Linked DNA regions of Lonchura striata. The protein of the gene in region 2 binds, or shares a complex with, the protein of the main gene of each other region. Links are inferred from orthologs where the notes say so. Each region holds a gene or a part of one and is shown on either strand. Other genes may lie near its edges.

What was found.
Region 1: XPO1 (region 2) and XPO5 share a complex: the UniProt entries of both Homo sapiens proteins name them as parts of the nuclear export receptor complex. The link is inferred for Lonchura striata from reciprocal best matches to the Homo sapiens genes XPO1 and XPO5.
Region 3: the proteins of XPO1 (region 2) and RANGAP1 are in contact, whole or in part, in a cryo-EM structure (PDB 9B62), measured with the Homo sapiens proteins. The link is inferred for Lonchura striata from reciprocal best matches to the Homo sapiens genes XPO1 and RANGAP1. Residues at the interface, in NP_003391.1 of Homo sapiens: Lys245, Ser248, Thr249, Tyr252, Lys253, Glu281, Gln282, Val284, Thr285, Leu289, Met292, Gln293, Gln296, Arg340, Asn342, Leu343, Lys514, Val518, Ile521, Lys522, Leu525, Glu529, Arg532, Lys534, Lys537, Ala538, Ala541, Met545, Phe554, His558; in NP_001265580.1 of Homo sapiens: Ala2, Asp5, Ile6, Leu9, Ala10, Thr12, Leu13, Ala14, Thr16, Gln17, Val18, Ala19, Gln22, Leu23, Ser24, Phe25, Lys28, Glu44, Arg55, Ala561, Thr564, Lys565, Pro566, Ser568, Glu571, Ser572, Ser574, Phe575, Arg577, His578.

What each region holds. Positions count from the first base shown.
Region 1 is NC_134605.1:36,045,479-36,049,220, forward strand, and holds the start of XPO5 (exportin-5), read right to left. Parts: upstream 2,468-3,742; 5' UTR 2,370-2,467; coding exon 2,265-2,369; intron 2,026-2,264; coding exon 1,904-2,025; intron 1,292-1,903; coding exon 1,219-1,291; intron 669-1,218; coding exon 531-668; intron 225-530; coding exon 42-224; intron 1-41. Other genes in the region: POLH (DNA polymerase eta), read left to right, coding at 2,674-2,810, 2,909-3,043, 3,132-3,373, 3,645-3,742. UniProt on the Homo sapiens protein: Mediates the nuclear export of proteins bearing a double-stranded RNA binding domain (dsRBD) and double-stranded RNAs (cargos). XPO5 in the nucleus binds cooperatively to the RNA and to the GTPase Ran in its active GTP-bound form.
Region 2 is NC_134605.1:25,062,726-25,066,467, reverse strand, and holds the start of XPO1 (exportin-1), read right to left. Parts: upstream 2,449-3,742; 5' UTR 2,325-2,448; exon of another isoform or gene 2,310-2,324; intron 2,114-2,309; exon of another isoform or gene 1,788-2,113; 5' UTR 1,732-1,787; intron 1,190-1,731; exon of another isoform or gene 1,074-1,189; intron 1-1,073. UniProt on the Homo sapiens protein: Mediates the nuclear export of cellular proteins (cargos) bearing a leucine-rich nuclear export signal (NES) and of RNAs.
Region 3 is NC_134607.1:58,518,462-58,522,203, forward strand, and holds the start of RANGAP1 (ran GTPase-activating protein 1), read left to right. Parts: upstream 1-1,403; 5' UTR 1,404-1,489; intron 1,490-3,742. UniProt on the Homo sapiens protein: GTPase activator for RAN. Converts cytoplasmic GTP-bound RAN to GDP-bound RAN, which is essential for RAN-mediated nuclear import and export. Mediates dissociation of cargo from nuclear export complexes containing XPO1, RAN and RANBP2 after nuclear export.

The DNA.
Region 1 (3,742 bases), about 11 Mb from region 2:
GCCTCCAGCACAAACTAAACCAAAGGGAAGGAGACTCTTACCATGCATCTGTACTTGCTGACATTCTGCTGCAGGGCAGTTAGTAGGAAGCTGAAGATCTTTTCCATGTTCTGGGTGAGGGTTTGCTGGATATCTCGTCGCCGCTGGGTAGGTAGAGTTTGAAAAGTCACTACATCCTCTGCCAAACGTAGAAGGATGAACATCACCAGTTCTGTCTGAGTTTCCTGATGTCCCAAAGTGAAATACACTCCATCAGCACAGTCCAAACATTAAAATCTCTAGAGACCAGCTCAAAGATGTGGAGAGAAAGCAAGCATGCATGAAGTATGTCTCATGTTGAGAAAATAAAACAGCAGGATGGCCCCCTCTCTGCTAGTCATCTCAAGATAGCATAATCTTACAGGGATTTTTGAGTCCATCACCAACCTGTCTCACTTGACCATGAGTGAGTTAGATTTTTCTCAGGATGATGGAAGACTGAACCCCACACTAAGAGCAAGCAAAAGAGACCAGACAACTGTGTTTCATACCCCTTGTTTGGAGAGGGTATCCAGCTCCTTTAGCATGTCAGGCCAGTGCTGAGGCCATTCCCGCTTGATCATCTCTACCACAATGCGAGACAGCACATCTTTAATGTGACTTTCCTCCTCCAGGATACTTTGAGTTCCCTGTGACAGAAAGGGGACTGTTACACAGAACAGCAAGCTTCAGGCATTTATAACTCTGACCTGGGAAACAGTGTTTGCAAACATTCTAAACCACAGAAACTAAAACCAAAACAAAACACAACATTGGGCAGTGCTTCATTGCAGCTACCTTAGATGACGCTCCTATGCTCCCAAACATTATAGCTCCATAGACAGACTCTCCTCAAAAGGTCACTTGGTCACAAGAGCAATCACAACAGGAAAAAAAAACAACTAATACAATGGGTTTAGTATTTTTGCAAAAGATAAGAACATCCACAGTTAATGAATTTCCTCCTAAGAAAAGTAAAAGTATGTTACATACGCTATATAAGCCTCACAACTTCCTGCCATGTGAGGTAACATGGCTATTCACCTGACAAGACAGAGAAAAGCACTGAAACAACCAGAGATGCAAAGCAAAAAAGCAATGAAATGAAAAACTGAATTCAGATCCTCTGTGTAAATTAACTGCAGTAGTTTTTACTTTTACTCTCACATTTCACAACAGCCTGGGGCAGCAGGTACTTACACTGGATATGAGGCCCATAACATTGTTCTTTAGATAAACTTTTTCTAAGCGAGGCATATTGTTCCAACGGTATCTGTTAAGAACATATAAACAAAAAAGAAATAAAGTAAAAACATCTGGATTTCTGACTTGATTCTCAAGGAACCATTTGCTTCTTTACCGAAACTGGAGACACTACCAGCTCCCTGCCTCTGCCAGCACCCAATTCCTTAATAAAAGGGCTGAGTTACAACTGCTGCTGGCAAATGGGCATGCCCCACCGAGGTCAACAGACACGAGAAGCAGCAGCAAAAGCACAAAGCACCAGGTCTGTAGAGGCAGCAGAGAAAGGAATCTCAGAACTGAACTAATACAAAGCCTCTTTGTTAGCAGGAGGCCAGTGACAAAACTCTGCAAAGACCTACTGGTAGCCCAGTGTGCTTGTTTTCATCTTTTGATGTTAATGTGTGTTACAGCTCAGTAAATTCACCATCCCAATGTGCCTGAAAGCAATTCTATCCTCTCTTTTACAGAATAAGAAAAAAATCCGGAGTAGGACTGCAACTGTCCTCTGCTGCAGAACAAACTCCCTGCGTACTGAAAATGCCTCCCTGGGGTGGGAGGTGCCGGAATGGGCACATATCTCACCAGAGCTGGCAGGCTGGGACCCTTCCCCAGCTCGGCGGCACCGGGCGAGCTGACTTACTTGACCACATGCTCCAGGATCTGCAGGCCGAAGTGCCGGACGATGGCCGTCTGCGTCTTCTCCGCCAGCTTCAGCCCGCAGGGCACGCAGATGGGGCACTTCTCCTTGAACTCCTCGCAGAACTAGGGGAGGGAGGCCCAGGACACGAACACGCAGTTACACACCGGGGCAGGAGGTGGCAGCCCCATCCCTGGCGCAGCACGCCGGGCACACGCGGCCGCCCGGCCCCCGCCGCCTGCTGACGGCTCCCGCACTTCAGGCCACGACCGGGACCGGCCCGCCCGGCTCTCGCCCGCCCCGGGGCCGTGCGGACGGGGTGCCCGCTTGCCGGAGCCTGGCGCCCTTCCCGGCCGGGCCGTACCTTGAGGGCCTCCAGGCGGTACCGCTGCGTGGACGCCGGGTCCATGATGACGGTGACCGCCTTCACCAGCTGCTCGCAGAGGCCGCTCACCTGCTCGGCGGACATGGCGGCGGCGGCGGGCGCGCGCCACCGGCCACCCACGGGAGGGACGAGCGGGGCGGCCGGGACGTAGCTCCGCGCATGCGCCCTGGGGGACACGGGGACACGGCGAACGCGGGCGCCGCGCACCGTCGCGGCGGGGACACACGCACGCCCCGCCGCGCCCTGGAGAACTACGACTCCCGGCGGTCCCTACGCAGAAAATACGGATGCCGCAAAGCGACGGGCCGAGGCGGGGCTCTCCGCCCCACCGAGCGGGCGGTTATTCAATCATTCACTCAGTCGGGCGGGAGCTGGTGGCGGCAGCGGGATGTCTCGGGGCCGGGAGCGGGTGGTGGCCCTGGTAGACATGGACTGCTTCTTCATGCAGGTGGAGCAGCGTCTCGACCCGCAGCTGCGCGGCCGCCCTTGCGCCGTGGTGCAGTACACCGAGTGGCAGGGCGGCGGGTACGTAGGCGAGCCGGCTTGGCGACTTCGGCTCCTCGTCCCACCCCGATCCCCGCGGGGCCGGGCCCGCCCTGCACTTCACCTCTGTGTCTCGGCAGGATCATCGCGGTGAGCTACGAGGCGCGCGCCTTCGGCGTATCCCGCGGGATGTGGGCGTCGGAGGCGCGGGCGCTGTGCCCTGAGCTGGCGCTGGCCCGGGTGCCGCAGGCACGGGGCAAGGCGGACCTCACACGGTGAGAGCGGAGGCCGGGGGTGGCGGCGGCGGCGCGGGCCTCCCCGGTGGCGCGGGGCGGCGGCTGAGGCGTGCCCGCCGCCCGGCAGGTACCGGGAGGCCAGCGCGGAGGTGATGCGGGTGCTGTCGCGCTTCGCCGCCATCGAGCGCGCGAGCATCGACGAGGCGTACCTGGACCTGACGGGCAGCGCGCGCCTCCGGCTGCGTGAGCTGCGCGGGCGCCCCCTGCCGGCCGCGCTGCTGCCCAGCACCTTCGTGCAGGGACTGCCCGGGGAGCCCGGCCCCGATCCCGCCGGGAAGGGCGTGCACCGAGCGGATCCCGCCGGGAAGGGTATGCACCCACCCCCGCCCCCCGGGAAAGGCCCACTCCGCCTGCTCTGACTCCCCTGGATCGAGAGCGTCGTAAATGGGATCTGCGTTTTCCGCAGTGAATGGCTTTTAAGATGCCTGTGGTGCTTTTAAGGTGTCCTCGCTGTGGCTGGAATGCGCTTACAGAAGCCTGCGGCTGCTGGCTGGACTAGCTGCTGCGGGTCCCTTTGCTGGGCTCAGCAAGAAGTGCCATATCGTGTCCTCTTGAGATCCCTTTTGTGTCCCTTTTCTAGAGGAGCTGCGGCAACGTAGTTTGGACGAGTGGCTGGCGTCGCTGTCTTACGATAACCCAGATTGTCCTGACCTGCAGCTGACCATGGGCGCAGTAATT
Region 2 (3,742 bases):
CCTCCATGGCTGAGCCGGGATAGCGGTTTCCGAACTACAATAAATGTCGTGCACCAGTCGCTCCTCAGGTAGGGCCATTCATTTCAGACTTGAGCCTCTTTCGGCGGTTTTCAGGCCACCCCGAGAGCGCCAAGGAGGAGCAGCGTGACCGAGAGAAGTTATTCAACACATGGAAGCAGAAAGGAAATGTTTTGAATAGGGCCCTTCGCCACTCCCAGCATTATCTTCAATATGACCTACCTACTTCGCCAGCCGAAACACAGAAATGGCGGCTTTGTGGCCACCACCACCTGCAGCCAACTCGATCTCCCAGTCCTAACCCTTTACCCACATGAAGCTTATAATCTCTGATTTACTATACTCCTACACTTTTCCCTCCCCCATCATGCTGAACTCCGGAACACATTTAAGCCTCATCTCTAAGAACCACCAGTGATCAGTCCTTCAATAAATGAGCAAACAGAAGCAGAAGAGAAAAAGTTAAAAAAAAAACCAAAAAGCAAAAACCAAACCAAAAAAAAAAAATTTCGACTACAACACAGCAAGAATGTGACATCTACCGAAGGTCAAAAGAACTGCATTAACAGCACTGTTTACACAGTTATCCCAACTCTCGATGACCCTGGACCTTTAACACAACAGTTAGCTTGTTGTGGTACACCCGATTCATTTTGGCCCGTAGCACACAGGAATAACAGCAGGCACTTAATAGTGAGAAATGTTGAGCATTTACCATGAATCCTACAGCAGCACCCTTTAACCCAGATATTTAAAGCTCACTGAGGGCAGACTAAAAAAAAAAAAAAAAGCAAACCCACCCTGGGAGAGTCACTATGCCCCATTTCCAAGCACGCAATGCAAGTGAATTTCCTCCCTCTTCCAAGGAATTAGCTGCACCACTTGTAAAGCCCACCCAGGAGGGGTGAGTGGCTATGAAACGCAGCGCACGACAAACGCGTTCGCATCACGCTCCACACACCAGCAATGGCAACGAAACCGCCCCTTCCCTTTGCTCCTTCACACACACACACGTGAAGAAGGACGAGACGGATTAAGCAACATCTGACCGACACCTCGGAGCGTTCATTTTCGGCTGGAAATAACCACCCAGCGCCGCGGCCTTCCCCGGCTCCTGCCGCAGCGCCCCTGGGCGGGCAGCGCCCAGCTCTCGGGTAGCCGCTCCCGGCTCCGGCCGGCGGGGCACCGGCTCCCGGCGGGGAAAGGGCCCGGGGCTGGGTCGGGCGGGCCGGGGCCCTGCGGAGCGCGGTGGCCCCGCAGCCTCCCCCTCCCTCCTCCCCCTTCTCCCCTGAGCTCCAGCCCTGCGCGCTATACAGGGCTCCCCACGTGATCCAGGCGGACGTTTCAATACTGCTGCACAGAACATACACACAAAAAATATTTCTGGAAACTTCCACTCCTAATAATTTACAGATTATGTCGCCGGGTTTGCCCGTACCCGATCCCAGCCTGCCCGGGCCCCTCCTAACGAGGAGCATCCCCCGCAGCATCCGTGGCTGCGCTCGGCCAGGCCGGGGATGCTCGTACCCCAAACCCCATCCGAGCGCACCCCCGCCCCTCAGGGCTTCTCCACGGGGTCCATCACATCTCTCCTAGCATAGGCCAGGCACTGGGGCCCCCTGCACGGGCACATCCCCCCGTTCTGCCCCTCAAAATACCCCCCTTTGCCCCCTCCGCGTTGCCCATCGCGACACCCCCACAACCCTCGCTTACCTAGGGGTTTCTCACAGCCTCTTCCTTCAGAAAGTAGGGGCGAGCGAGCCAAGTTTCTAACCACCACACACCACAAGAAAAAAAAAAAAAATAAAAAAAGACCACCAAAAATAATCCCTTCCCAAAATGAAGAAGAAAAAATAAAAAGACCACGGAAGGAGGGAAAAAAAAAAAAAAACAGCGCGGAAGGAGGGAAAAAACCACCACGGCAAGAGGTGGGGGGGAAGGCGAGCGCTCCCTCCTCGGTGGTGGGTCGGGGTTAGTGGCGCCACTCCTCCCCTCGCAGCGTGCCCGGCCTGGCTGCACCAGGCGCCCGCAGCTGCCCCCGGGGCTCCGCGCTCGGCTCCGCGCCTTCCCCACAGCCCCGGGAAAGCGGCCGGCGCGGCGCTCCGACCTCGCTGTTGTGGGGGGATCTCTACCCGGCTGCGCCTCCCGCGCCGCCCAGGCCCGGCCCCGCCGGCTCTCGCTGCCCCTGCGGCTGCCGCCCTCCCCGCCCGGCGCTCAGTTCGCCCCCATTCCCGCCACCCCCCCCCCGCGGCTCGCACTAAACTTCGCCCCCTCAGCTACAGGTCCCCTACGAGCAGGTCACACACGCGGCGGCGGCGACGGGGACTGAGCGCGGCGCGTCTCCCCCTCCTAATGCCACAGGCACGGAACCGGCTCAAACCGGTTCAGACTGGGAGATTCCATCTCGGTTTAGTTTTCAGCCCATGGCGCCGCGGAGCGTTTGGAAACCTCGGGGGCCCCGCCCAGCCGCCGCTCCCATTGGCTCCGGGATGTGCCGCCGCGAAGGCGGCCGCCACGGTGATTGGTCAGACGGGCTGTCAATCCGCTGCGCGGCTCGGATGGGCGGGGGGGCGAGGGGCGGCGGAGGGGGCGAGGGGCGGGGGGGCGGCGGGGAGGGGAGTAGAGGGGACCCGCCCCCTCTCCAGCAGCGCTTTGAGCGCTAAGGGGGGGAATGCCGCTCCCCGATAGGCCGAGCCGCGCTGTCACTCAGGGGCGCCCTGCCTCCGTGCTCGCAAAGCGCGGGCGCAGGCCTGGCCGCGCTCTCATTGGCCGGCGGCGGTGGCGGCATGACGCGCGCGCCTGAGCGCGGCTTTCGGGGCTGCGGCGGGAGGGGGCGGGAGCGGCGCGGCCGTTGGGCGCCCCCGGGCGCGTGCATGAGGCGCAATGGCGGGAGCGGAAGGGGGTCGAGCACCATCCCGTTCGCGCTGAGGCGCCGCTTCCGAGGGAGATGGGGCACCCTCCGTGTGGGGGCTGTGTGGAATGGCGGGCATTACCCTACAGGTCCCTCCCTCTCTCTGGGAGGGAGTGGAGTGCAGCAGAATATCTCAGCTGTAGAGTGGGCCCTGTGAGCAGCAGGGGCACCAGCCCTCGGTGGGTGCTTGCTGTCCCCTACCCCAGCAGTCCTATGCTCTCCACCAGAGCCTGTGCAGAGTGCGAGGGCGGTGTGTGTCCCCTCCTTTACGGTGCCTCTGTCCATGGCATGTCCAGCTTCCTGCAGCTGCCCTCCAAATTGTGCTTCAGGCAAGGCTGGCTTTAGACTTAGCGAAATATCGAGCTGTGTGAGGTGTAGTAGGAAACCAAACGTGAACAGGGGTGATTCGGAGATTTTCTGTGGCGGCACAAGCTTGGCATGCTGTGGTTGCTCATCTCATTGCTGCCTGAAGGAGTAGAGGACGTGCTTGCCAACTTCCACATGGAAAAGCTCCTACCAGTGAATGTACTCTGTGCCTACAGATGCATTTTTCAGTTTTAACCCTCATTTGAAAAACCCTTAGCTATAGAAGCTTATTACTCACTTCTGTGAGGAGGCTACTATTAGGAAGTATTTAATTTCCCTTCTCGAAACAAACTTTATTTTCTATCTCTTCAAGCAGTTACTTTGTTTTTGGGATGGCATTACACTGGTCTGTGAAGCTTGTTATAGGAGTGATACTTTTGATTTGTGGAATGCCCTCTGGATGATTTCCAAAGGAAACTCTGTATAGATTTGCTGAGGCGTTGTTTG
Region 3 (3,742 bases), on a different chromosome or scaffold from region 2:
TTTAGGTATTGGTTTTGATCCAAAAATTGCTATTATCCATGGATAAGACAATGTTTATTTTTATTAGCTCTTCAGAATGTTATGTGTAATAAATATAATTCGCGCCATTCCTTGTATGAAATATGTAATATTGGATATTTGTTAAATCATGCCCGTCGTATTAGTTTCCCCCCCCCCTCCCCCTTTACAGGCGAGACTGGATGTATATTAGAAACTGATTTACAAGTAAAAGGATGTGGCTCGGCCAGGAGATGGGCCATATCTGGGCTCCAGGTGTTGATCATCACCATCGGTGCTGATCGTCTGAGATGGATATCATGGAAATCCTTAGACAGATCCATGTGAATGCAGCCTTCCCGTAAACTCTCATCAAGAATTCAACTACTCCGAATTCAACTACTCTGGACATTGAATTATTTCTCCTCATCACCAAAAAAAGAAAATCTTATTAACCTATAGACTCTGAATAGAAGAAAAGACTAACTGCTCAAATCTTGGCCTCAGGTGGAATTTTCCCTATAAAAACCACTCGGGCCAGGATGGAGGTGTGTGGGCATAGGGGAAAACCTCTGCTGAGGCTGACTCCTTGTTGCACACCCAGGGCCGACCCCGGGCTCGGCTCTGTTCTTTCCGTGTGGCTGGCTAGATAGAATTTGACCGCTAATAAAATTATTTTTATTTTTAATCTGGCTGAATAAATTCTCATTTATAACACCAACCAAGGCTTTTTTTCCATCCTGAAGCAGGAATGACTTTGCACTCCAGGGTGAAAGCGACAGATGAGAGGACATAGCCATATGCTGTACCAGTGGAGGTTCACGTTGGCCATTAGGAGGAATTTTATCACAGAAAGGGTGTTTGAGTATTGGGATGAACTGCCCGGGGAGAAGTGGTATTGTCACCGTCCCTGGAAGTGTTTAAGACTGGATGTGGCAGTTAGTGCCATGGTCTAGTTGATCAGGTGTTGTTTGATCATAGGTTGCACTCGACGATCTCAGAGATCTTTTCCAAGCTAACAGATTCCGTGATTCTGTGAAATGCCTTCCTTAGCAGAACGGTCTGACAGTAACACGTGAGTACGAACAGGAGACCCCAGGGACATTATCTAGGCGAGGCTTCACATCAGAAAGTCCTCGTGTCCCACCTGCGGGCTTGCGGGCGCTTCTCCAGCGACACTTCCGCCAGTGGGGGTTGTGAGCGCGGCGCGGACAGAGCCCCGCGCAGCGCAGAGCAGGAACGGGACTACAACCCCCGGCGCGCCCCGCGGCCGCTGCCGCGCGCGCCCCGCAGCCTGGCGACACCGGCTGCAGTGCGGCAGCGGAGCGCGCCCCGTGACGTCGCGACGCAGCAGCCAATCCCGGAGCGGGGAGCAGAACTGCCGGCGTTCAAATCCTCCGCCTCCCCCGCCCGCCCCTCACCCAGCGGCCCCGGCGCGGCGGCAGCGGCGTGAGGCTCCCGCGCCTTCCCCGGTGGCGGAATCCCCGAGGAGGTGAGGGCAGAGGCGGCAGCCGCCGTCTCCGTTAGCGGCCGGCGGAGGGGGCCGTGCGTGCGGGGGGGCGATCCCGCGGGCTGACGCGCCCCTCGGCCCCGCCTGCGGGGGGCGCTCCCACGCGCAGGCGGGGCCCCCCGCTCGCGTCGCGCGTGTCCGGCGGCGGGTCCCCCACGCGCTCCGCTGCCCGCGCGGGGCGGCAAGGGGCGTTCCGGCCGCGTGGGGCGGGGCCGTGCGGCCTGCGCTCGGCGGCTCCCGCGGGGCAAGAGCGGCGCTGGGGGCTGTCAGCGGCCGGCCGGGCGGGCACTCGGGCTGTCGCCCCGCGCTGCCCGGTGCCCCGTGGCTGGGCGAGCAGCACGTAGCTGGTGCGTTGGTTGTTGGGGTAGATGAAGTGTTGTAACTAAAGTATGCGTCTGAACTAACTTTTTCGATCATAGGGGAACGTAAAGTTTCATACATCCCTTAAGTGAAAAGGAAACCTGTCTTTAGGCGTTTCCAGATCTTGGTTGTGTTTGCCAAACGGACTACCTCTTCCTTCTTTCCTTCTTTCCTTCTTTCCTTCTTTCCTTCTTTCCTTCTTTCCTTCTTTCCTTCTTTCCTTCTTTCCTTCTTTCCTTCTTTCCTTCTTTCCTTCTTTCCTTCTTTCCTTCTTTCCTTCTTTCCTTCTTTCCTTCTTTCCTTCTTTCCTTCTTTCCTTCTTTCCTTCCTTCCCAAAAGCTTTTTCAGCGTAAGAATTAACAGTAACGAGACCTCTGGTAGGTTGACAGGTGGGTGTGGGTGACATGTGCTATAAAACATGCTTCAGGATGTGTATGTTGAGATTAGAAGGTAGTCTATGTGTAAGGTGAAGAACAACAAAGGTGATTCAAGGGAAAGAGAAGCCAGGAGGATGTGAACATCTGTAAGAAAGATGATCATAATAGATTAGAAATTATTTTTAAGAGTAAAGTTGTTAACTTTACTCTTAAACTAGGTGGACAGGCTGACTTCTGCAGATAGTAACTTATGTTCCTATCTGGTAAAGCCTTCATGGTTTGGAGGATGTCCTCTTTCTTCTCAGTGTTGGATTGGCAGAGGCTGGGCGTGTCCATGAGTTTGGTATCTGGGTGTCTAGTAGGACTGGAATAAGCTATGTGGGTTTGATGCCTGAAGTTTTAGCTTTCATGTTTTTCAGGTTCTGTACTGCCTTAGTGTGTAACTCTGAACTTCATATAAAGTGTTAGCAAGTTCTCTTCACAGGGCAGGTAGACAAAACAATCCTTTTCCAGCCTGAGAACCAAGGACACTGTTGCAGCTTCATGCCCAAAAAGTGTGAACAACAGCAAATTGAGGAAAGCCATCTGGGAGGATGGGACTTCATAACCTGAAGCTGTAATTGGACAATTAACCCCAACATGGAAATAGACCAAAACTTATAAAATATGAAACCTCATGATCAGGTGTCCATCTTGGGTGGAGTCATGGCTGGTCTGCTGTACTGCCCAAGGTTTATCTTTTGAAGGCCTTTTAATAAACACCTACTTTATTGCTTTAACTCTGTCTAGCCTCTGTTCAGGTAGCCACAGTAGGCATCAGTTTCTTTCTACTGGCAGCAACTACTTGAGAGGATAGTCATCCTAGAAAAATTATGTTGCTCAGCCTTGGAGATTTTCACCCCCTGTTTCCAAAAGTGATATTAAAATTAAAGACCCCTGAAAAGAAGTCATACTCTGGGGAAGCTGGGGTATCAGGAGGAAAGTGTGCAGAGGAAAATATACAGTTTTCCTATAGAGGATATTTTAAAACCAGCACTATTGACCTCAAGCAGCTACAAGAGTGTGGGGTCACTTCTAATCAGACAGGAATGGAAGGGAACCAGTTTTCTGTTGCAGGAATGGAACTTCATCCCTTCTGACATCTAAAGTCTAAGTGTGGGGTTTCTAAGCATTAGTTGTGTGTAGCCTTTTATCTCAGCAGAGACAGTGGGATAAGAAATGTACTCTAGTTATTGTGCTCAATGGATGGAGGGCAGTTCCTTCAGCCAGTGATTAATATTCATTAAATAATGCTATGCAGATGCTACCAGACATGGCTAGCTTCAAATTTGTGCCTCAAGGCTAGATGCTCATTAATTTATTTTAAGTGTAAGATCATCCTGTTTAACGTGTGATGAATTTGTGTGGAACATCTGAAAGGAGAGAGCACCCAGGAAGCTGAGAGAGTTTTGTATGCAGCACACAGTGTTTTCAGCAACTCGATGGTTCTGGAACTGTG